6 linked regions of the Coturnix japonica genome follow. The protein of the gene in region 1 binds, or shares a complex with, the protein of each later gene. Links are inferred from orthologs where the notes say so. Each region holds a gene or a part of one and is shown in the gene's direction. Other genes may lie near its edges. The genes, in order: MTA1, HDAC2, HDAC1, CHD4, CDK2AP2 and CHD5.

Region 1 (3,500 bases):
GCTGAGAGCTGCATCTTCAACTTTTTCTTCTATGGGAGATTGACATGTTGCCATTCCATGGGCTGCTGTTTTGACTCCAGCTTTTACACACCACATCTCATTGCTGGTCATTATGCTGTCCAGGAAACTGTCAGTTCTGTATTAGTTCAGTAGGTCCTGATAAACTTGCATATGGTGTTCTTTCTGTTGGCCTCTGGCATTGTGAGCTAACGTAATAGAATAGGAGACATTACTTTTGGAGCAGCCCTTGTGCTTAAACAGATGCGCATAAGGAAATGGCTGAAAGCAGGGAGAAGAATCTCTATCGGTGATGCAGGAGAAGAGATGGAGAAAGCTGGAATATCTCCAGCAAAGGACTCCTGCTGCTTTTGGGGCCCTTCAATAAAGAGCTCATTTGATAAGCTGACTTCCAGCAGCATTGATTCACGATGCCACTCAGCCACATGTTGCTGTGATCTTGGTGTCAGGAGCACTCAGTAGGAAACCAGAGGGTGGAAGGCCTTGTTGATGGGGGTTTTGCATTGGGTTGGTTTAGACTGACCACAGAGTTGCTCTGTGATGGCACTTTCCACCTCATGTAGGCTTTTTGGTTGTGAAGCTGCTTCTAGCAGTTCTGGCCATTTTCTGCTGCCTGCTTGGTTTGCTGATAGAGCCATGTGAGGTTGCCTGCTGGCAAAAGACCCCAAAATGATCAGTATGAAGATTGCTTCTACCCAGAATCAGTAAAGTGATCCAGTTTCTAATTAGGTACCACAAAAAAAAAATTAAAGTATCAGTTCTGCAAGCAGGGGAGCTGTGAAGCAGCAATGAGGATGAGTGAGTAGGAGGCTGGGGAGAGGGTGAAGTGTGAATGCACCAAAGCCTTGCGGGGGCAGATTTGGCTTTGGACCAAAATCAGATATTTGATGGATTACTGCCTAAGTATTTACCTTTTTTTTTTTCTTCTATGCACTCAGCCAGTCAACTAGTCTGGGGAAGTGAACAGAGTGAGGGGGTGCTGGAGGGGGGGGAATTGATTTTGTTGTAATTTCTCAGAGTTCAGCTCCAGTTCAGTGTGCAGGAGTGTTCCCAACTGTGTGCTGCAACAAGCAGCCAGGGGAGTGGGAATTACTGGAACCAGTGTTCCTGTTGTAGAGTTCTCCAGCTCATTTCTTCTGGGGTAAAATGAGGAGCCTGGGAATTGCAGCCTCGCAAACAGGAGTGGCTGGCATAGAGAACTATCTGAGGACTGCTATCCTTTTACACGGCCTGTTTATACTTTAAATACTCTTTTTTATATATTACGGTACATATAATAAATATATATTTACAACATTATACTATGTCGTACTTTTTCTGCAGCTTTGGAAAATGATTGTTCCTGTATTCTTTTTTTTTTTTTTTCCTGTCATGTCTTGGCATGTATCGATGTGCCTTTGGACAACACAGCACTACTAGGGCTGCTGTTCATAAAGGTCACTTGTAATCACTCTCTTTTGAACCTTAATTCAAAAGTTTATGTTAAGAGACAGAGGATGAGATGGTTCGAAACTGCCTGTTTGTGATCTTGGAGTCCTCCACTGTTCTCCTGCCTGAGTCTATTTGGTCATATAAACTGTGCACAGTCGAGCATTCATAATAACAAACCACATCTGAAGAGAACGGTCCCTGGCTCAGAAGTAGTGCCAAGACATGGAATCTTGTTACTGAGAAGTGGAGTCTGCTGATCCCAAAAAATGTTGGTTGGGTGTTGATATTTATGCTTGCTTTGCATGCAGAGTTAATGCTCCGTTGTTATTTCTTTCAGGTCTGTTGGTACATTTGCCCGAGCACTGGACTGCAGTAGTTCTGTCAGGCAACCTAGTTTACACATGAGTGCTGCAGCAGCCTCTAGGGACATCACACTGGTAAGGTTTTTAAGTGGGCCTTCAGTTACTGAGAGATGTAATATAATTCACCTCCTCAATAACAGTTGGCAAAGGGAAAGGGGCAGATGGACTGTAATTGTGGCCTGCTGTGAACCAGATCCTGTCTTTGTAAAGGAGCCCTTTATTTACGTTGAAGTAACTATTTCTGGCTTTGTGCCTCCTTATGATCCATCATGGGTAGCTCAGAATTTTTATTTCTTTAATGTTCTGACCATGCTTCACAGCCCATCTCTTACCTAGGCTTAGTGAGTAATGGTCTTAACAAGAACCCATGTGATACCTGCCTGTCTTCAATGCTGTAATGCCAAAATACCACTTACTGCTTTCCCAACTGCCACAGCCATCTTTGGGCAAAATGGTCTGGGGGGGAAGGGTTTGTGGTCAGATAAGGAATTTCAGTTGATGGGGTTTTCTTTGAGCTTGGTTTTAAAGCACTGAAGCAGTGGGCGTACTATGAATATTTTGTATTTGTAAAGGATTCTTAATAGAGAGGAAAGGGAAAAAAGAAATGTCTATGCTAGGAAGAGTTAAATGGAAGTGTGAATAAAAGTTATGAAGTCTCCAGAGTGCTGTTATCAAAATCTCACCTCATAACTGATATAATATGAAATCATTTGCAGAACAAACTTTAGGATAAAACACTGTAGGTTTATTATGCACAAAACTCTGGTAGATGGAAGACAAATAACATCCTGATAGAAAAGACAGATACAAAGCCCAGCTTTCACTTTCAATACCAACCCCTCGCTCTCAGTGTGTTCTTCCCCCTCGTATATCATAAGTCACCAGCAGTTGTAGCTCAGCTTTCTGATGAATAACTGCGCACTCTTGGGAGTAGTTCTTCCTAGTCAGCTATTAGATGTGACTTAAATTCTTTTTGGGGTTTGTGACATCTGGGACCTGTGTCTGCGTGCTTAAATATTTGTTTTATATGCAATTTGTGAGGATTATTTGACAAAAGAAGCGCATGGCTAAGTTTATTAGAAAATACACCCTCAGACTTCCATCTTCATGCTCCATCTGGTGAGTGAGGCTCTATCCCCTGCATTTTCTTAGCAGCAGTGCTGCAGTGGTGATGCTAGGGATTAGCTAAAGTAGGAATTACTCATATGCAGATGCTCACGTTCCAAAAAATCCCACCATTTTTAGTGAACCTAAGACTTGTACACTGAAAATTATCTTGAGTCTGGGGTTGGAGCAAGTATCTGCATCTGACTTGATGCAGATGTAGTGTACGTTATCCACAGATATTGCTGCATGGTTTCTGCTACTGCTGCTAAGTTACTGAGTGCTTTTCCCACTGGGAGCTTGTTCTTACATTTGTTTCTCTCTTACAACACGTAGTTCCATGCTATGGACACTTTGCACAAAAATGTCTATGACATTTCCAAGGCGATCTCTGCGCTTGTGCCACAAGGTGGGCCAGTCCTGTGTAGAGATGAGATGGAGGAGTGGTCTGCTTCAGAGGCAAACCTCTTTGAGGAAGCACTAGAAAAATACGGAAAAGATTTCACTGACATTCAGCAAGATTTTGTAAGTATATAAAGTGGGGGTCTGCATGATGAGGTTGATTCTGATCAGGGATGGAACTGG
Region 2 (3,268 bases), on another chromosome or scaffold:
GTTGCCCATACAGATCAGATTTTTTTTCATCTTACATATCTTGGAAACCAAGAGAGCTGCTGCCTCCTACAGATGCCTTTCAGTATGCTGTATCTACCTGGACTGTGTACTGTCTTGGCACCAGTTTACTCTGTAAGCAAGACTTAGCAACCTTTTGTACAGGTTCAAATTTAGAAGTAGAAAGGAGCAAGTACTGATTTACTTTTTTTTCGTTCTTCCCACTTTGTGTTTAGCTGAGAAATTATCCCTAGATTTGTCACTGTCTTTCCATAGCTAATATCAATACAAAACACAAAATACTTGTTCTAAGAGCATTTCAGAACTACAGTGGTAGGAGGCCATCATCCAAAGTCTCTGAAAATGGGGACGGATAATGTTCAGAGTGTTTTATATGCATCTTAACTGACTTGTGAAATTATGCTTAGCTGTAGAGGGTGACAATTCTGTTTTACTTGAATCAATTCAGTTCTTACTTGATAAGTATCACGTATAATGAACTCTAAGCATATAAGAGTATATACAAATCACTTTTTCTTCTTACTTACTGAATGTTTTGCATATATTGTCAAATATTTTTTGTTTGTCACAGGTCATGCAAAATGTGTGGAAGTTGTAAAGACTTTCAACTTGCCGTTGCTGATGTTAGGAGGAGGTGGATATACTATTCGCAATGTTGCTCGTTGCTGGACATATGAAACTGCTGTTGCCTTAGATTGTGAAATTCCTAATGGTAAATATTCCACAAATTCATACCTTATTAAGAAATAATCATAGGAAGGTCAATGTGGAAGGATAATTATGGAGATATTTGCCAAGTTCTGTGTGTCAGTTTAGAATGAACTATAGAGAAAGCCATTGTTAAGGCTCAGCTGATAACTTTTCACAAGCTTATATACTAAATGAAGTTTAGAGACTTAGGGCTTGCTTATGCTTTTATCAAAGCTTAAAATTATCAGGTCGCTTAGTATATATGTTATCATATGTTTGGCAGTGTTTTTATTATGACAGCACAGACATGTTTAAGCTGGGTAATGCAGATACGGTGTTTATAAGAAAAGTCTGAGTGTATAAGTACCCATTTTGCACGGTAAAACTTTATTTCTTCATTATATCTTTGACCTAAAAGTGTCCTTATTGACATCATCTGTTCCAATTGCCTCAATTTTGGCTATGCAAGCTCTTACAACTTTTAAAGCAAAATAGCAATAGTCAGCTTCTTTTAAATTCTTGAATAATTAAGTAATTTATCTGAGGAATATCTCCATAGAGCCTACACTCCCTGTAATTCTGGCCAAGTATGCTTCTGGACATATTTTTTGAAAGCTTTTCTATGAAATTAGTATTTGAACTGTCTTGTTACATCAGCCATTGGCAGCTTTCACGTTGGACTGCAGATTTACTGGTAACGTTTTGATATACATAGGTTGCTCCAAAAAGTAGTCTCTCTTATTTCTGTAAAAACTGCAGCATGTACAAAAAGAACAATAACGTTGTTTGATACAGCAAACTCTTAGCTACAAAATACTGTTTTCCAACATAATCACCACTAACTATGAATTTTTAGCAGTGATGAATAAGAGCCTGCATACCACACTTTAAAGTCGGCACCAGCAGAGATGTGTCCCACTGTCTATGTTACCACTGCTGAAACATTCTACCCACCACCTCACTTTGCTCGCATCTACTGTTTGGTCTCCATAAATGCTCAGCAAGCATCAGTGAATGTCAGTAGGTGCTATTTTCTCTTCATGGAGAAATTCAGTTCTACACCTTTATTTCATCTGCACTTCATGTCAGATATTGTTCTGTCAGACTGCCCCTTTGCTGCCATCTGTCACGTGGCAACAAAATTTAACAGAATATTGGTGGGAAGGTTCAACTTCTACTATGCTACCACTAGCATCTGCCTGTGCTGTCATGGGCTAACATCATAAAATAGGAAGCATTACTTTTGGAGCAACCTTTGTACCCCATCATAGGTTTTACTGGAAAAAAATCCTTACTGGCTCACATAAGGTAACTTGGAAGTACCTGTAAATAATATCAGTTAATTGTACCACATCTCCAAAATTAGCTTTTTTAATTATCAATTTTGTTACCTAAGCATTGTCAACATGTGTTCTAACATTATTAAAACTTATTTTAATAGAACTTTATTTTGTTCTTATTGTATTGTGCGAAGAAAGCATGTTTAACTTAATGTGTTGAGTAATTTAGAGAAAAACACTGAAGGTGATACTTCTTGTATTTTGTGTGCACTTTGTATTTAAAATGATTAAAATCACCATTGGGTCACAGTTGTCTTTTCTGTTCTATTTATAGAATTACCATACAATGATTACTTTGAGTATTTTGGACCAGACTTCAAACTTCATATTAGTCCCTCAAACATGACTAACCAAAATACACCAGAATATATGGAGAAGATCAAGTAAGTAGTGCTTACATTATTTGCCAAGTACATGTGTGAGTTGTGCTTCTCTAAAGGTTTAATATTTACACAAGTTTGAGAGTTCCATTCCCTACTACACGCTGAAAAAGTACTGAATAGAAAAGACATTTTTTTCCGTTTTATCAGAAGATGAAATTTTAATTAAAATATCTGTGCCTACAACATTTTCTGTGCTTATGAGTCCTGAGTATTTAAAGAAGAAAGGCTTAGGACTCAGTTTCGGTGGCTTTTTCCCCTTCTTCCAGAAATGAAAGAGTTGACTGTTTTATTTGGCTTACTCTGATTTTGTAAGAAATTTATCCTGTCAGGAAAGAAGCTGTGCTGTGCACTGATTATTAGGCTTCCAAATTCTCTACTCCCTTGTCCAAACACGAGTGATTGTCATTCTTTGTAGCTGTCAGCCTTAAAAATAGAAATCATGTGAGGAGACATTAAAAACTATGGAAAGATGTGTGCAAGCGATTGAGAGACTGTAGTTTGATGAGTCCACAAGATTTGTGAAGTACTTATTGACAAGCTGTAGATATTGTGTTCTTAGGCTTTGCTTCTTCAGTTTATGCCTACCCACATCATGAAGGTTTGTAAACTAATATTGGTCTTCAGAAATGGAATAATACTTAAGAATAATCAAATCTGTACTCATCTAATAAAGAGATAATTGGTTAACCTGAAGTACTCATTGTTTACAATTGTTTTGTTCCTGATTTGGATTTAGAAGAAGGTCATGTAATAGAAACAGAGACTGTAAGGATCTCATAAAACCTCAGTTGCCATTTCATTCTTTGAATTGTGCAGGGGGATACTGAGGTAGTTGTC
Region 3 (2,657 bases), on another chromosome or scaffold:
CTGAGAAGCGCATTTCAAGTAGGTGCTTGCCTCTGGCATGGCTGCATTGCTCTGCTGGGAAGTGCACTGCACAGAGCCTGTACATCTCCAAGCATTAGTGCGCAGTATCTTCTGACCTCTTCTCCCCTTCACTCTCAGTCCGCAATTCTGATAAGAGAATATCCTGTGATGAAGAATTCTCTGACTCCGAAGATGAAGGGGAAGGAGGGCGCAAAAACGTTGCCAACTTTAAGAAGGCCAAACGTGTGAAAACAGAAGAGGAAAAGGAGGAGGAGGAGAAGAAGGGTAAGCACGAGGGCTATGGCTGGAAGCCCTCCCAGCTGTGTAGAGCACTGCCTGATGTGTGCTTTCCTACTGCCCTCCCATGCCTTTATTTTTTTCTCCTAGATGAGAAAGAAGAGGAAAAAGCAAAAGAGGAGAAAGCTGAACCCAAGGGGTGAGCACGGTGTCTCTTGACTTGGCACTTCACTGTCTGAGTTTGTATTTGTTTAAACCAGATTCTCCACTGCTTCCTTCCACAGGGTGAAGGAAGAGGCAAAATCCACCTAAGATGGCTGCGGCTGGACGGCGCCTGTCAGTGCGTGGTTGTCGTAGGTTAGCTTCTCCGGTTGCCTCCCATTCCACAGGATTTATATTTTATATATGTTTCTGTATATATTTCTATATAAATATATAAATGACTTGAGAACTGTAAATTATTCCTCGCTGCACTCCGCTGGGAGCAGGCAGGGAGGACTGCAGAGTAGAGAGACCCACATTGCCCAGCATTGGAACTGGGAAGTTTTGCTCTTTGCCTCCCACCAGCTCCTCAGTGTGTCTTTAAGAAAGAATCACTTCCTTTCTTTGCTCTCCTCTGAAGTAACCGCCCTTAAGAATGAATAATTTAAGTAGAAGTAGCATCTGCATTTCAGGTTAGGTGGGAAGATGGCCATGAAGCTTTTGCTTTTTTTCTGCTTCTTTTCCTTTTTCTCTCTCTTTTGTTTTGTTTTGTTTTTGTGGGAGATGTGAATTCCCAAATGAAGCCTGTGAGAGACGGAGCGTCCTTTGGTCTTCAGTCTGATTCCACCACGGCAATAACTACAAGCCGGTGCCGCTTCTCAGGGTCAAATAGTGCAGTTCTTGGACAGAGTTGGCTACTTTCCTGCAGCAGACTTGTGGAGAGAGGTGAAACAGCTGACAGGCAGATCAGGAGGTGGATGGAGTGAATCTGCCCAGAGCCCTGCAGGTAGAGAGCTGTGGGGATGGACCCTTCCCGGGATGTGGCGGATCCCATTGGCAGCGCTGTGTGTCTTTGTACACTCGTTTCCTAGAGCTGTGCCCCTCTTTGCAGGGGGGAGGTGAGTTACTGCCCACCTGGCTGCCTGCTTCACTCTGCTGCTGCCCTCAGCTACACGTGCTGTAATTGCTTCAGTGCTGATCCGTGTCCTTGCTGAAAGCACAGCAGAGCAGGACAGACGGGCAGGGCCCAGCTGGTGCCTCTGCTCCACGTGCCACTTACTAAGAATCTCCTCCTGGAGCAGGCACGTTTTCGAGCGGATCCTTCCCTCTCTTTGCTCTCAAGGCCAGTAAATGCTGAGAGCCTTTTATCAGCAGGCAGCGCTGTTATCTGTACGAGGGAACAGCAGATGGGGCTCTGTACGTTTCTAGAACTACTCCTCTTCCTACTCCCACACGTTATCTCACACCCAAAGGTCTTTTGTGCTCAGAGCCGGCCTTTCTCACACCTTGCTTTGTACAGCTGAGCGTGAGATGAGCGTTCCACCAAGAGCTCCAGCTTTGCACAAGTTTTGCAGGCAGTTGTGACTCGCTGCTCTCCTTTCTCAGGGCGATTCCTCTGTCCATAAGAGGGTCTGTACCTCCCACGGGGCTGCTGCTGCTGGTTTCAACTCTAATAATGCTGCTAACTTAACACAGGTTATTTTTGAAATGTTTTATTTTTTTACGTGCTTTTCCTCCCTTTTTCCACCATCAGTTTTTTGTAGCCTCTTGGAACCCGAGTGACGTCTCACTCCCGCTCTTCAGTGTTTGTATGTGAAGCGAGAGGGATGGGTGCATCTTTGTGTCCTGGGGAGGGGAGGGGGGGAAATATATTGTGGTTTTTTAAAGATGCTTTTATTTTAAATTTGGAGAACCTTTGTAATAAAACGTCCATTTCTATGGTTGGTCTGAGCTGGAGCTGCTTTGTGCGCGGGGTGGAGTCACAGTGTGCTGCAAGAGGAGCCTCCCCTGCTATAGGGTGATGGACGTGGATGTGTTGGTTGAGTGCTGAGGGCCAAAGCAGTGTGTAGGAACATGCAGCGTGCAGCAGATCCTGCTGCAGGTGTTGAAATTCCCTTTATTTCCCTCAATTTTATAGCGCAGCCTTCAGCCCCCAACACACACACACACACTGCAATCCCACACGGGGCCGTTCCCATCGCAGCCCTTTGTGTGCTGTTAATGCTGCACTGCCTGCTGCTGAAGGCAACCATGATCATCCATAGAGACGATGGGTTACATGGCGCTTTAAAGCACTTGGGTGCTTATTTCTTGCATGAGTGCCTGGGTTGTGGTTTTTATTTGCAATCTGCTGTTCAATTAATTAGAAAAATAACGATTAAATGAGCCGGGTGGTTTTGCCTCATAAGGAGAGGAGGAAAAGCTTCGAGTGCCACAGC
Region 4 (4,150 bases), on another chromosome or scaffold:
TGCAAACCCTTAAAGGCAAGAGAGGACATCAGTGAAAATAAGTACCCTGTGTTTGCGGTTGGTAGGAAGTCTGTGGGTTCATCTTGAGCGATGTTGTTCCTGCTTGAATGGGCATTTTCTCTAGGAGCAAAGATATGTGCATGTTTACAGTGGGGGAAACACTTCACTGATGGCTTCTTTTCTTTTTTTTTTTATCTGATATGCCGCTCTGGGGTGGGGAATACACAGAAGAGGGAATAAAGGCAGAAGAAGGAGCCAGTAACAAGGAACAAGGAGAGTCTGCTGAGCCAGAGAAAGAACTCAGTGCCTCTGCTAATGACACAGAGGTCCCTATGGAGGTGGGTATTGGGATGCTAGTTTGCCTCATGCAGTTGCAAATGTCTCTACTTAGAGATGATTCTCCTCATGTTCTCACAATCAGTGTGTAATAGTTTTGTGCGGATTTGCTTTCCAAACTGGTTTGACTGTCTTGTTTGCATACGCTGCGTTGTTTCACTGCTCATTGATCTGTCCTCAGCAGTGTGCCCAGCCTACGGAGGCAGCACCACAGGAAGCAAAATCCCCAGTGAATTCCACAGAAACAGATGAGAAGAAAGAAGAACCAGAGGTGAAGGAAAGAACAGATGAGCCAATGGAAGTGGAAAACAAAGGTATCTCTAGAGAGGTTGTTTAATACCTTGAACACAAACAGCTGAACAAAAAATGAACACCAGTATCCTCCTAAAGATGCAACTTCTTTGCCTGTGTTTTCACCTTATAGAAGCAGACATAAATGGATAACTGGTGGAGACTGTTCCATGACTTTGAGCAGGGAGTCAGGGAACACCTTGGTTTCATTGACTGAGGAACAAAAGCTTGAGCTCATAGTTACATCTCATACTCCCTTTCTCTCTTGCAGCTGATGTGGAGAAGGCAGAAGACAGAGCACCTACTGAGAATACCTCTGACCCCCCTGTAATCACCTTGGATGAGAAAGGTGAGTCGTGATAATTCCATTCCTGATTCCCTTCATGACTCCCTCTCCTGCAAGGACTTCCTGTAGGTCCAACTTGCTATGCTATCTGCCATGTTCTTTCTAATGACTTCTGTGCACGCAGATGAGAAAAAGGATGATGATAAGAGAGACGTGGTGATGCTGCAGAACGGAGAGATGCTGAAAGAGTCAGTAGATGAAAGGCACAAAAAGGCAGTAAAGCAACGGTTCATGTTCAACATAGCTGATGGTGGCTTCACAGGTATGTGAAATCTTTTTATATTTTAACTCATTTATATTCTCCTGTTCTCGTTCATGAGGTAACTTTCCATTATTTTTGTGTATCTTGCCTGTCCAGAATTACACTCCCTGTGGCAGAACGAAGAGCGGGCCGCAACTGTCACAAAGAAGACATATGAGATCTGGCATCGGCGTCATGACTACTGGCTGCTTGCTGGAATTATCAAGTATCCTTGCCCTGAGAAACCAGTTCTCTCCCCCTGTGCTTTAAATCTTGTTGTGAAGGTGACCGTTTGGGGCCTGACTGGAACGCGTTCAGAGAGAGAGTGCTTTTTATCATTCAGTAGAGTGAAAGAAATGATGGGAGGAGGGTTTTAGTGTCGGTGTAATTAAGACCTAGCAGGAAATAGTTCTCATTCCTCTTTCTTGGCCCCTGTTCCTCCCCTCTTTGTGTCCCCTTCCCTGACCCCCTCAAAAACTGTCTGCCTGGACTGTGTATTCCCATGTTCTCACTGCCTTTGTTTGCCTGAGCTCATCCCATCTCAGTCATGGCTATGCCCGTTGGCAAGATATTCAGAATGATCCGCGTTACGCCATCCTCAATGAGCCCTTCAAGGGAGAGATGAACAGGGGTAACTTCCTGGAAATAAAGAACAAATTCTTGGCAAGGAGATTCAAGGTAAGGCACCTTCATTGTGACAAATGCCCTTCAGCAAGATGAGCTTTTAAGAACAAGATGGCTGCCAACCCAAGTTAGGCCATGTAATTCTGAGTCTCGGAACTAAACATCAGTGTAGTTTGGCCAGTCAGCTCTGCTACAATAGAATTCAAATTGATTTCTTCAGAGGACTCTGACATGTTTAACAGTTTCTCTTGAATTCTTCCTCTTTGGTTGGATACTTCTCAGGTTCACTGGGGGAAAAAAAAGCTTCATCTCCTGTGCTTCATGCAGAAAGATCAAAGATTTACTTCAGAAATCCTTTAAGAAGGCAGAGGAATATGAATCTGTTCACAGCACTTTAGACTGGTCATAAGTTGGTTGATTTTCTTGTATACAGAGCCTGGCTTAATGAAGCTCTTTGTTTCTCAATATTTAGACCAAGCTAAACAGAAGATGGTGAAAGGAGTTTCAGGGTTCCACCTTGTGACAGACAATGACTAGATCAGGAAGACTGTGGTGGGGTTGGAGAGGGACATCCAAGCAGGCAACTGCTGGAGGACTTCTCACATGACTGCCCCCTCTTGCAGCTCCTGGAGCAGGCCCTGGTGATTGAGGAGCAGCTGCGGCGAGCTGCCTATCTGAATATGTCAGAAGACCCCTCTCATCCTTCAATGGCTCTGAACACACGTTTTGCAGAGGTGGAGTGCCTGGCCGAGAGTCACCAGCATCTATCCAAGGAGTCAATGGCTGGGAATAAGCCTGCCAACGCCGTGCTGCACAAAGGTGATGTTATGGGCTAAGCAAGAGTGGATGTGTTGAGCATCTTGTGCACCACACATGGGGAAGACCTTCTTTTTCCTCCTTCCTCTGCCCTGAATCCATGTCCCTTTCTCTTCTAGTTCTGAAGCAGCTCGAGGAGCTTCTGAGTGACATGAAGGCTGACGTGACACGCTTGCCTGCCACTATTGCCCGTATCCCGCCGGTGGCAGTGCGCCTGCAGATGTCGGAACGCAACATCCTCAGCAGGCTCGCCAACCGCAGCAGTGAGCCCCCTCCACCGCCCCCTCCCCAACAAGTATGTGCCCTCCCTGCTCTGCAGGCGGGGGTGTCTCGGGGCTATGTGGGGAAATAGCCCCCATACTACAGAGCCTAGCGGCTGTTCTCTCGCCCTACAGGTGGCGCAGCAGCAGTGAGTCTCCAGCCCGGTGCCGTCAATCTTTTGGCCAAGCCGAAGTGACCCTCCCCGCCCCACCCCTTCACACTCTGCCCCTCTGCCTGACATTCCTGACCGGGTGCCGTTTCTTCGTGGAAGCTGCCGTGCGAGTCTCTGGGAGGAGGGAGAACCTCCTTCCATTACGGCCAGCCCACCGGAGCGAGGAGTGTGCTGAGGAGAGAGGGGGACGGATGGATGATGGACTCTGTACATAGTGACTGAAGGCCGCGGTGCCATGGCTGTTACATGGAGAACCTGGCTGCGTTGCTCGCTGCCTCCGCCTGGAATTCCACGTTTTCAGTTTTGTAACTTTCTTTTTGGGTTTGTTTACCGATGTGACCGCACAGGCGAGATGAAGCAGAAGCCAGGACAGAGACAAAGCTACCTCCATCGAGATCCTTTTTAATACAGAAACTGACGGGACTTGTCCGCTCATTAAGCAGCTCGGAGAGGAGAAAATAAAGTGAAAAAAAAAAACAACAAAAAAACACAACAAAAAGCAAAAGGACAAAAGCAGAGCAAAATCTTGGTAGAACTGAAAAATAAAGTTTCCTTGTATTTTACTTTGAGGTTTCTGTGCAGCACTGATTCTCTCTAGGCCTGAATCCTCCTGCTTTGCCTTGGGCTGGGCTGTGAGAGGCCCTGCCGTCTCTCGTGCCGGCCCACAGAATCACAGAATGACCCAGGTTGGAAGGGACCTCAAGGATCATGTAGTTCCAACCCCCCTGCCTGGCAGGGCCACCAAACATACACATTTACTAGACGAGGTTGCCCAGGGCCCCGTCCAACCTGGTCAACGTGGCCCGTGACGTTCCGCCCCGCAGCCAATACCGGGCCGGGGGCGGGTCGGCGGACGAGCGCGTGCGCGGCAGGGGTTGGCCCGCACGTGGGTTGTTGGCGGTGCCGGCTGTACCGGAGCCATGGGGCGGAAGCTGGACCCGACTAAGAAGGAGAAGCGCGGCCCCGGGCGCAAGGCCCGCAAGCAGCGGGGGGCCGAGGTGGAGCTGGCCCGCTTCCTGCCGCCCGGTAAGTGCGGCCCGTGGCGGCCCGGGGCCTTGGCGCT
Region 5 (3,016 bases), on another chromosome or scaffold:
CTCATCACCTTTTCTCCTGGCTCCCTGCCCCAGTTCTCATGTTCTTAATGTGCTTTGTCCCCATCTTGACACCTGTTCTCTTCAGTCCCCATATCAGCACCTGTTCCACTGGCTCCCTATCCCAGTTCCCATTGTGCCACCTTTCCCATTCAGTCCCCATCTTCACACCCATTCTCTTCAGCTCCCCATGCTGGTCCCCATCTCAGCATCTATCCCTCACAGTCCCTGTCTGAGTGCTGCTCCCTTCGTCCTCACCTGCCCCCACCTGTAGGGTGCCCCCATGGCTGTCTATAGGTGTCACCATTCTCCCTGTGCTGCCCCTAGAGTTGAAACAAGCCTTCAAGGAGTTTGACAAGGACCGCGATGGCTACATCAGCTACAAGGACCTGGGTGAATGCATGCGCACCATGGGCTACATGCCCACCGAGATGGAGCTCATTGAGCTGTCCCAGCAGATCAGTAGGTGCCAGGACAAGGGGGAAGTAACCCCATATTGCCACAGTGGTACCACCCCCGCTGATTTGTAATCCCCCTTTGGTCCTTCCAGCAGGCGGCAAAGTGGATTTTGATGACTTTGTGGAGCTGATGGGCCCCAAGATGCTGGCGGAGACAGCGGATATGATTGGGATCAAGGAGCTGCGCGATGCCTTCCGTGAGGTGAGGGCTGGGGGCAGCAGGGCCGGGATTGGGGGAGGGGAGGGGGTGCAGTGCTGGGAGCACAGTGGTGATGCTGGGTCTCCTATGGGGCAGTTCGACACCAATGGGGACGGGCAGATCAGCATGGCGGAGCTGCGGGAGGCCATGAGGAAGCTGCTGGGCCAGCAGCTCAACTACCGCGAGGTGGACGAGATCCTCAAGGACGTGGATCTCAATGGGGACGGCCTGGTGGACTTTGAAGGTAAATGGGGGCAGGGTGAAGGAGGGGGGGGGGGCCCTATTGATCCCAGCTTTAACTGGGGGACAATGGAGCCATGGATGGGGGGGCCTCCCTATTGCCAGCTGTATTTGGGGCTTATTGCCGGCTTTATTTGGGGTTAATGCTGTGGTTCTTTGTGCAGAGTTTGTGCGGATGATGTCGCGCTGAAGGGCCGGGACTCGCCGCCGTGCCTTACCGGGAGGAGGAGGAGGAGGAGGAGGAGGCGGCCTTCCCGGGCCTGCGCTGCCCCTCATGGTGTGTGTGGGGGGGGAGCTCCGGTGTTGGAGCCCCGTGTCGGTGTGTTGGCAGCGCTGCCGGTTCGCAATGAAGCTGTGTGCCGCCGGGTGCCGTGTGCCCGTCCGTTGAGTGCCGGGGGAGGCCTCTGGCCCTCGCTGTGGGGGTGGGGGTGATGGGGGGGTGCAGGACGCCGCTGGTCTCCATGGTGATGGGAGCCCGGCGCGCCATGTTTGCGTATCGGCGGCGTGCGCCTCGTGACGTCATCACCGCGCTCCCCCGACAGCGCAGGCCGGCTCCCTTCGTGCCGTCGACCAATCGGCGCCGCCGGGTCGCTCCGTCTGACCAATCAGCGGGAGGTTGTGGGGGGGGGTCGCCCCGCTCGCTTCCGTCTCCTGCACACGGCGGGCGCCGCTCGGCCCGGAGCGCTGCGGGATGTCCTACAAACCCATCGCGCCCGCACCCAGCGCCAGCCCCGCCCCGGGGCCCGCAGCCACGGCCGCCGGTGAGAGGAGCCCCGGGGATAGAGCGGGGGTGGGGGGAGAAGAGGGCGTAAGGAGGGGCACGAGGCCTGAGGGGCGGCGGGGCCTAAGGGAGAGGGACGGAGAGTGCGGAGGGGAGTCGGGGCTGAGGGAGGGAGCGGACGGAGCTGGGCCCGAGCGGGGCCGGGCTGAGGGGTGACGGGCCCGGCCCCAGTGCGAAGGAAGGGCCGGACCCGGGGTCGCTCCCCGCAGCTCCCAGCGTCCCTTCGCCGTCCGCCTTCCGCCCGCTCTTCAACGACTTCGGGCCGCCGTCCATGGGCTACGTGCAGGTGAGCCCGCGGGGCAGGGGCACGCGGCGGGAGGGCGGCGTGGGGCGACGCTGAGCCCCCCCCCCTCCGTCCTCCTCGCCTTCCATCCCCTGTCAGACCATGAAGCCGCCCGGCGCTCCGGGCTCGCAGAGCACCTACAGCGACCTGCTGTCTGTCATCGAGGAGATGGGCAGGGAGATCCGGCCCACCTACGCCGGCAGCAAGAGCGCCATGGAGCGGCTCAAGCGGGGTAACGAGCCCGGGGGGCGACCCTCTGTGACCCTCCCCCCCCCTTAAGCCCGGAGCTCAGTGCTCACTCATATCCCCCCCATTCAGGGATCATCCACGCTCGGGCGCTGGTTCGGGAGTGCTTGGCCGAGACAGAGCGCAACGCCCGCACGTGACAGCAGCCCCCCGACCCCCCCCCCCCCCCCGAGCCCCGCCGGTGGCTCCCCCCGAACGGGGCCACCCCCGGGGCTCCCCCCGCCCCAACCTTCCGGCTTTTATAAATAAAGGACGTGCTGCATCCCCCCCCTTATAAAGGAAATCCTCCTTCCAAGCCCCCAATTCCCCATATATACCGCTCCGTTTTAATTTCCCGGTCCGCCGCCCCCCCGCTTCTGACGTCCCCTCTGACGTCACGCCCCCCCCCACGCTGTTCCACCTCCTGACGTCAGCGGGCGCCCCCCACGCCGTGACGTCACACAGCGCGGGGCCGGCTCAGAGCGGCGCAGGTTCGGAAGGGGCCGAGCGCAGCCGAAGGGAACCGAAAGGAGCCGAAGGGTGACGGAAACAGCCGAAGGGAGCCGAGAGCGCGGCCGAGCGGGCGGGGGGCGCGTTGCTATGGCAGTGGGGAGGGCCCGGCCGAAGCGGGCCGGGCCGGGGCCGGGTTAACGGCGGAGGGCCGCGGAGCCCCCCCCACCCCTCGCCCCTTCCCCTAAACACGGCGCCATGCTGATCAAGGAGTACCACATCCTGCTGCCCATGAGCCTGGAGGAGTACCAGGTAGCGCAGCTCTACATGATCCAGGTGCGGATGGGGCCTGGGCTGCGGCCCGGGGGGGGGGGTCGTGTGGG
Region 6 (3,500 bases), on another chromosome or scaffold:
AGGGCAAAACTCTGCCCTTGGCCGCTGGTGAAAACAGGCACTGCGGGTGCTCAGCAGGGAGCTCTTGGTCCAAGCTAGAGCCAGCTCTTGCTTTCTTTCCACAGGGCTTATGTCTCCCTGTTCATGCGACATTTGTGTGAACCTGGAGCTGATGGTGCAGAGACATTTGCAGATGGGGTCCCACGGGAAGGTCTTTCTCGCCAGCACGTGCTGACTCGGATCGGAGTTATGTCACTAGTAAGGAAGAAGGTGGGTGAGTAAAATCTTACATGTGCCCTTCAGGTACGTTCTGGATACCTGGGGGTTTTGTTAGCTGCTGAATGCCTCCTTGCCAGAGATCCCCTTATTGAATCTCCAAGGCTTGGTGCACGGCCACGTCTGTGGTATTTCAGTGATGTAGGTCAGCTGGAGGTAGAAGTGCTTGGTTGGCAAAAAATCGTGGCAAAATCACATTTTTAACTTCTAAAAAATTCCTGGATTTATAGTTCTTTTCATTTCAGATGGGACTATTACAGTAACCTACTCAGACCTCCTATACTGTACAGGCCAGAGACTTCCACTTGCCAAGTCTTGCATTGTGTCCAGCATCTTGTTGAACCAAAGCATGTCTTTCAGAGAGATGTTTGGGCTTGATTTGGGACTGAATAACTGTTGGTCATGTTGCTAATCCCAGGCATGTGCTGAGCCCCGAGGATACTGGCAGTTAAGTGTATGGAAGAATCCTCAGCTGTCTTGTTTAGAGGATCTCCCCATATGTTGACAAGTGCAGCACTCAGAGTTGTCCCAGGAAGACCATTAGATGATCATAGCAGTAGTTCCAGTGTAGCAGTGGGGAAGGGCAGATGCTGGGAGTGATGGCACCTGATTTTGCTGTGTCTGGAGCATCAACTGTTACTCTGCTGGGTGTGGAGAGTGACAAATTGCAGCCTAGGGAACGGGGTGTGCAAGAGAGACTCTGTGAAAGAGAGGAGTGGAGAGGAAGCAAGGAGCATTTTGATGGAGGCATGATGGGTCCAGGACTGTGAACTCACTGCATGAGCACCCCCAGGGTGCAGCTCACCCTGCATGCCTGCCAAGGCTTCACATGGGCACCAGCACGGTCACTCGCATGCTGCCCTTCTGCTACTCACACAGTCTTAACTCAGTACCTCTCCCTTAAGTCTGCAAAGCCAGCACAGCTGCAGTGGACTTGCTGGGGCATGGGAGGCTTTCTGTGTGCATGTGGGCAGAGCAGGACTGCTGCTGGAGGTGCTGCCCTGCAAAGCAGCAGGGCATGGGCAGTAGCACCTGCTGCCCAGCAAAGTGTGCCACATGGGGTGGTGGGTGTAGGAGCACCTCTGGATGGGGCTGGCCTGCTGCTGCTCTGTTGCTGGCCGCTGTGTTTGACTTGCTGTTGTGTGTCTGCCCCAGGTGCAGGAGTTTGAGCATGTCAATGGGAAGTACAGCACCCCAGACATGATTCTGGAGGGCCCGGAGAGCAAGAAGTGCAGTGAGATGGTTTCTTCAGATCCCAACACCCCTGTCCCAGCCAGCCCAGCACACATACATGCAGGACCTCTTGCCCTTGCAGGTAAATGCACAATGCCCTGGTTGTGGCTTTGGTCTACCTTAGGAAGGGAGGTGGAACAGGACACCAGAAAGTTTTGCAGGTATCTGGCACTGTGTCCTTGGCACAATGGGATTCCTGTTTGTAGCTTCCTTGCTTTACTTGTGTTACAGAAAAAACAGACCCACCACTCGGATTCCAGGAGGAAAAGGACCAAGTGGAGCAGAAGTCCAGGAGAGCATCTGACAGCCAGGTAGGGGGGTCATGAACCTGTGCCCGCAGTGCTGCCCTGCAGACTGCAGTGCTGTAGTAATGGTGTTTCTTGGGAGATGCTGCAGCATTCCTCTGCAAGCAAATCACATCCCTCTGGCTGCTGTGCTAATCCAGTGTGGGTGCTTCACGTTAAGGTGCCTGGAAGCACTGAGAAGGTGGAAAGTGAGGAGTGCCAAGAAAACTGTGAAAGCAAAGAGAAACTGAAGGAAGAGAAACAAGAAGAGAGTGAAAAGGCTGAGCCTTCTCCTGAGCCCCTGGGGAAAGGTGAGTCTCTGTGGCTCAGAAGAATACAGGCTTCATTCTGAGCAGCATCTGGGACATCTGTGAGGGCTCTGACAGTTACAGTGACATTGATGTGTGCTGGGGGATTTCTTCAGCTCAAGGTGCATAGACACAGAGTGTGCACTGTGACAGCCTCAGTGCTCCTGACAGGCAGATACTCTCTGCTGGGAAACTCTGGCACTTGCTGCTGGCTTCTCTTCTCCAAATTGCAGTGGAAAACTTGGATGTCACAATGTCCAGTAGGAGTTCCTGAGAAAGGCTTCCTGTTGGACTTCCAGATTGCTGTCTAGATAATGACACGACATTATCACAGATGTAATCTACACTGTAATATTAAAGCATTAGTTTAGTATAATCTACAAATTAAATGTAAAATAAGTTGTGAGAAATGCTTGTGCACAATACAGTCACTTTACCCTGAAAGTTACAGTCAATCCATATCTGTTATTTCCTGAAGAGCGTTTTACATGTTATGCTTTTCTCAGAGTCCTGTTCCCTTCTGCAGATGAGGGTACTCAAGAAAAAGAGAAGACTTTGGAAAAGCCAGAGTCCAACAGCAGTCCTGGCAAAGGGGAGGACAAAGAAGTCAAGCCAGGTAAAGTGCCAGGAGGCTTTGGGGAGAGAAGTGGTGCAAGGTGCCCTGCTGGGCAGGGTCAGTGACTCAAGGCAAGTGTCTGGGGGTGGCACAGGGCACTGCCTGTGCTTGCTATGAAAACATCAGGAGCTGCTGGGGGAGGCAGGTGGGTGGGAGGTGGGGCTGGTGGCTTCTCCAGCAGTGACTTTAGTGGGGACTTCCCCTTGCAGCTGGGAGGGCAGTGGTAGCAGCAGCCGCTCTGATGGCTGAGTGAGTTTGGGCAGGTGTGATTTCCTGTGTTTGCCCAGCAGAGGATACCAGGGTGGAAGAGAAGGAGCAAAATGAGACTCAGCAAAATGGTGACAAAGAAGAGGAGGACGGAAAGAAGGATGACAGAAATGTGAACTTTAGATTCATGTTCAACATTGCTGATGGAGGCTTTACAGGTAGAAATGAGAGATGAGCCATTGGTTACTCCTGCAGAGCTTCTCCATAAAGCTCTGTACTGAGCGCTGTTCCTGTGGCTCCCTGGGCCATCTCCTTGCTCGCCCCGCATGCTGTGCCCAGCAGCCCTGCTGGCTGACCAGGCTGTCTCTCTTCTGTTTCTGCAGAGCTGCACACGCTGTGGCAGAATGAGGAAAGAGCTGCCATCTCCTCCAGCAAGATCTATGACATCTGGCACCGCAGACATGACTACTGGCTGCTGGCAGGGATTGTCACGTACCCTTTGGCTTTGTGGGTGATGGCCTCCCCGTGCCAGGCGGAGGGGGCTGTGCTGTGAGGGCATTGGGGAGGGAGGTGATGGAGCAGGGAAAGGGGCTGGAG

What was found.
Region 2: MTA1 (region 1) and HDAC2 share a complex: the UniProt entries of both Homo sapiens proteins name them as parts of the nucleosome remodeling and deacetylase (NuRD) repressor complex. The link is inferred for Coturnix japonica from reciprocal best matches to the Homo sapiens genes MTA1 and HDAC2.
Region 3: the proteins of MTA1 (region 1) and HDAC1 are in contact, whole or in part, in a cryo-EM structure (PDB 7AO8), measured with the Homo sapiens proteins. The link is inferred for Coturnix japonica from reciprocal best matches to the Homo sapiens genes MTA1 and HDAC1. Residues at the interface, in NP_004680.2 of Homo sapiens: Asn132, Glu135, Ala162, Asp163, Gly165, Glu166, Ile167, Arg168, Val169, Asn171, Arg172, Tyr173, Gln174, Ala175, Asp176, Ile177, Thr178, Asp179, Leu180, Leu181, Glu186, Asp187, Arg189, Gln191, Ser192, Arg193, Leu194, Glu195, Thr196, Gln197; in NP_004955.2 of Homo sapiens: Lys10, Tyr14, Gly20, Asn21, Tyr23, Gln26, Lys31, His33, Arg36, His39, Asn40, Leu43, Asn44, Tyr48, Arg49, Lys50, Met51, Glu52, Ile53, Tyr54, Arg55, Pro56, His57, Glu63, Lys66, Tyr67, Asp104, Val118, Ala119, Val122.
Region 4: MTA1 (region 1) and CHD4 share a complex: the UniProt entries of both Homo sapiens proteins name them as parts of the nucleosome remodeling and deacetylase (NuRD) repressor complex. The link is inferred for Coturnix japonica from reciprocal best matches to the Homo sapiens genes MTA1 and CHD4.
Region 5: MTA1 (region 1) and CDK2AP2 share a complex: the UniProt entries of both Homo sapiens proteins name them as parts of the nucleosome remodeling and deacetylase (NuRD) repressor complex. The link is inferred for Coturnix japonica from reciprocal best matches to the Homo sapiens genes MTA1 and CDK2AP2.
Region 6: MTA1 (region 1) and CHD5 share a complex: the UniProt entries of both Homo sapiens proteins name them as parts of the nucleosome remodeling and deacetylase (NuRD) repressor complex. The link is inferred for Coturnix japonica from reciprocal best matches to the Homo sapiens genes MTA1 and CHD5.

Annotation. Positions count from the first base shown.
Region 1 is NC_029523.1:3,940,078-3,943,577, reverse strand, and holds part of MTA1 (metastasis-associated protein MTA1), read left to right. Parts: intron 1-1,786; coding exon 1,787-1,886; intron 1,887-3,251; coding exon 3,252-3,440; intron 3,441-3,500. UniProt on the Homo sapiens protein: Transcriptional coregulator which can act as both a transcriptional corepressor and coactivator. Acts as a component of the histone deacetylase NuRD complex which participates in the remodeling of chromatin.
Region 2 is NC_029518.1:58,985,486-58,988,753, forward strand, and holds part of HDAC2 (histone deacetylase 2), read left to right. Parts: intron 1-589; coding exon 590-730; intron 731-2,322; coding exon 2,323-2,431; intron 2,432-3,268. UniProt on the Homo sapiens protein: Histone deacetylase that catalyzes the deacetylation of lysine residues on the N-terminal part of the core histones (H2A, H2B, H3 and H4).
Region 3 is NC_029538.1:4,502,600-4,505,256, reverse strand, and holds the end of HDAC1 (histone deacetylase 1), read left to right. Parts: coding exon 1-18; intron 19-138; coding exon 139-285; intron 286-387; coding exon 388-436; intron 437-521; coding exon 522-549; 3' UTR 550-2,157; downstream 2,158-2,657. UniProt on the Homo sapiens protein: Histone deacetylase that catalyzes the deacetylation of lysine residues on the N-terminal part of the core histones (H2A, H2B, H3 and H4).
Region 4 is NC_029516.1:69,333,918-69,338,067, reverse strand, and holds the end of CHD4 (chromodomain-helicase-DNA-binding protein 4), read left to right. Parts: exon of another isoform or gene 1-30; intron 31-228; coding exon 229-338; intron 339-517; coding exon 518-650; intron 651-898; coding exon 899-976; intron 977-1,097; coding exon 1,098-1,235; intron 1,236-1,331; coding exon 1,332-1,440; intron 1,441-1,759; coding exon 1,760-1,892; intron 1,893-2,461; coding exon 2,462-2,657; intron 2,658-2,773; coding exon 2,774-2,917; coding exon of another isoform or gene 2,918-2,949; intron 2,950-3,049; coding exon 3,050-3,111; 3' UTR 3,112-3,650; downstream 3,651-4,150. Other genes in the region: NOP2 (probable 28S rRNA (cytosine(4447)-C(5))-methyltransferase), read left to right, coding at 4,008-4,113. UniProt on the Homo sapiens protein: ATP-dependent chromatin-remodeling factor that binds and distorts nucleosomal DNA. Acts as a component of the histone deacetylase NuRD complex which participates in the remodeling of chromatin.
Region 5 is NC_029520.1:566,315-569,330, forward strand, and holds CDK2AP2 (cyclin-dependent kinase 2-associated protein 2), read left to right. Parts: upstream 1-1,457; 5' UTR 1,458-1,585; coding exon 1,586-1,655; intron 1,656-1,846; exon of another isoform or gene 1,847-1,884; coding exon 1,885-1,961; intron 1,962-2,057; coding exon 2,058-2,190; intron 2,191-2,276; coding exon 2,277-2,344; 3' UTR 2,345-2,516; downstream 2,517-3,016. Other genes in the region: CABP2 (calcium-binding protein 2), read left to right, coding at 325-459, 548-657, 751-898, 1,059-1,084; PITPNM1 (membrane-associated phosphatidylinositol transfer protein 1), read left to right, coding at 2,892-2,969. UniProt on the Homo sapiens protein: Acts as a component of the histone deacetylase NuRD complex which participates in the remodeling of chromatin.
Region 6 is NC_029536.1:536,692-540,191, forward strand, and holds part of CHD5 (chromodomain-helicase-DNA-binding protein 5), read left to right. Parts: intron 1-104; coding exon 105-249; intron 250-1,410; coding exon 1,411-1,570; intron 1,571-1,719; coding exon 1,720-1,799; intron 1,800-1,953; coding exon 1,954-2,083; intron 2,084-2,606; coding exon 2,607-2,696; intron 2,697-2,986; coding exon 2,987-3,121; intron 3,122-3,286; coding exon 3,287-3,395; intron 3,396-3,500. UniProt on the Homo sapiens protein: ATP-dependent chromatin-remodeling factor that binds DNA through histones and regulates gene transcription. May specifically recognize and bind trimethylated 'Lys-27' (H3K27me3) and non-methylated 'Lys-4' of histone H3.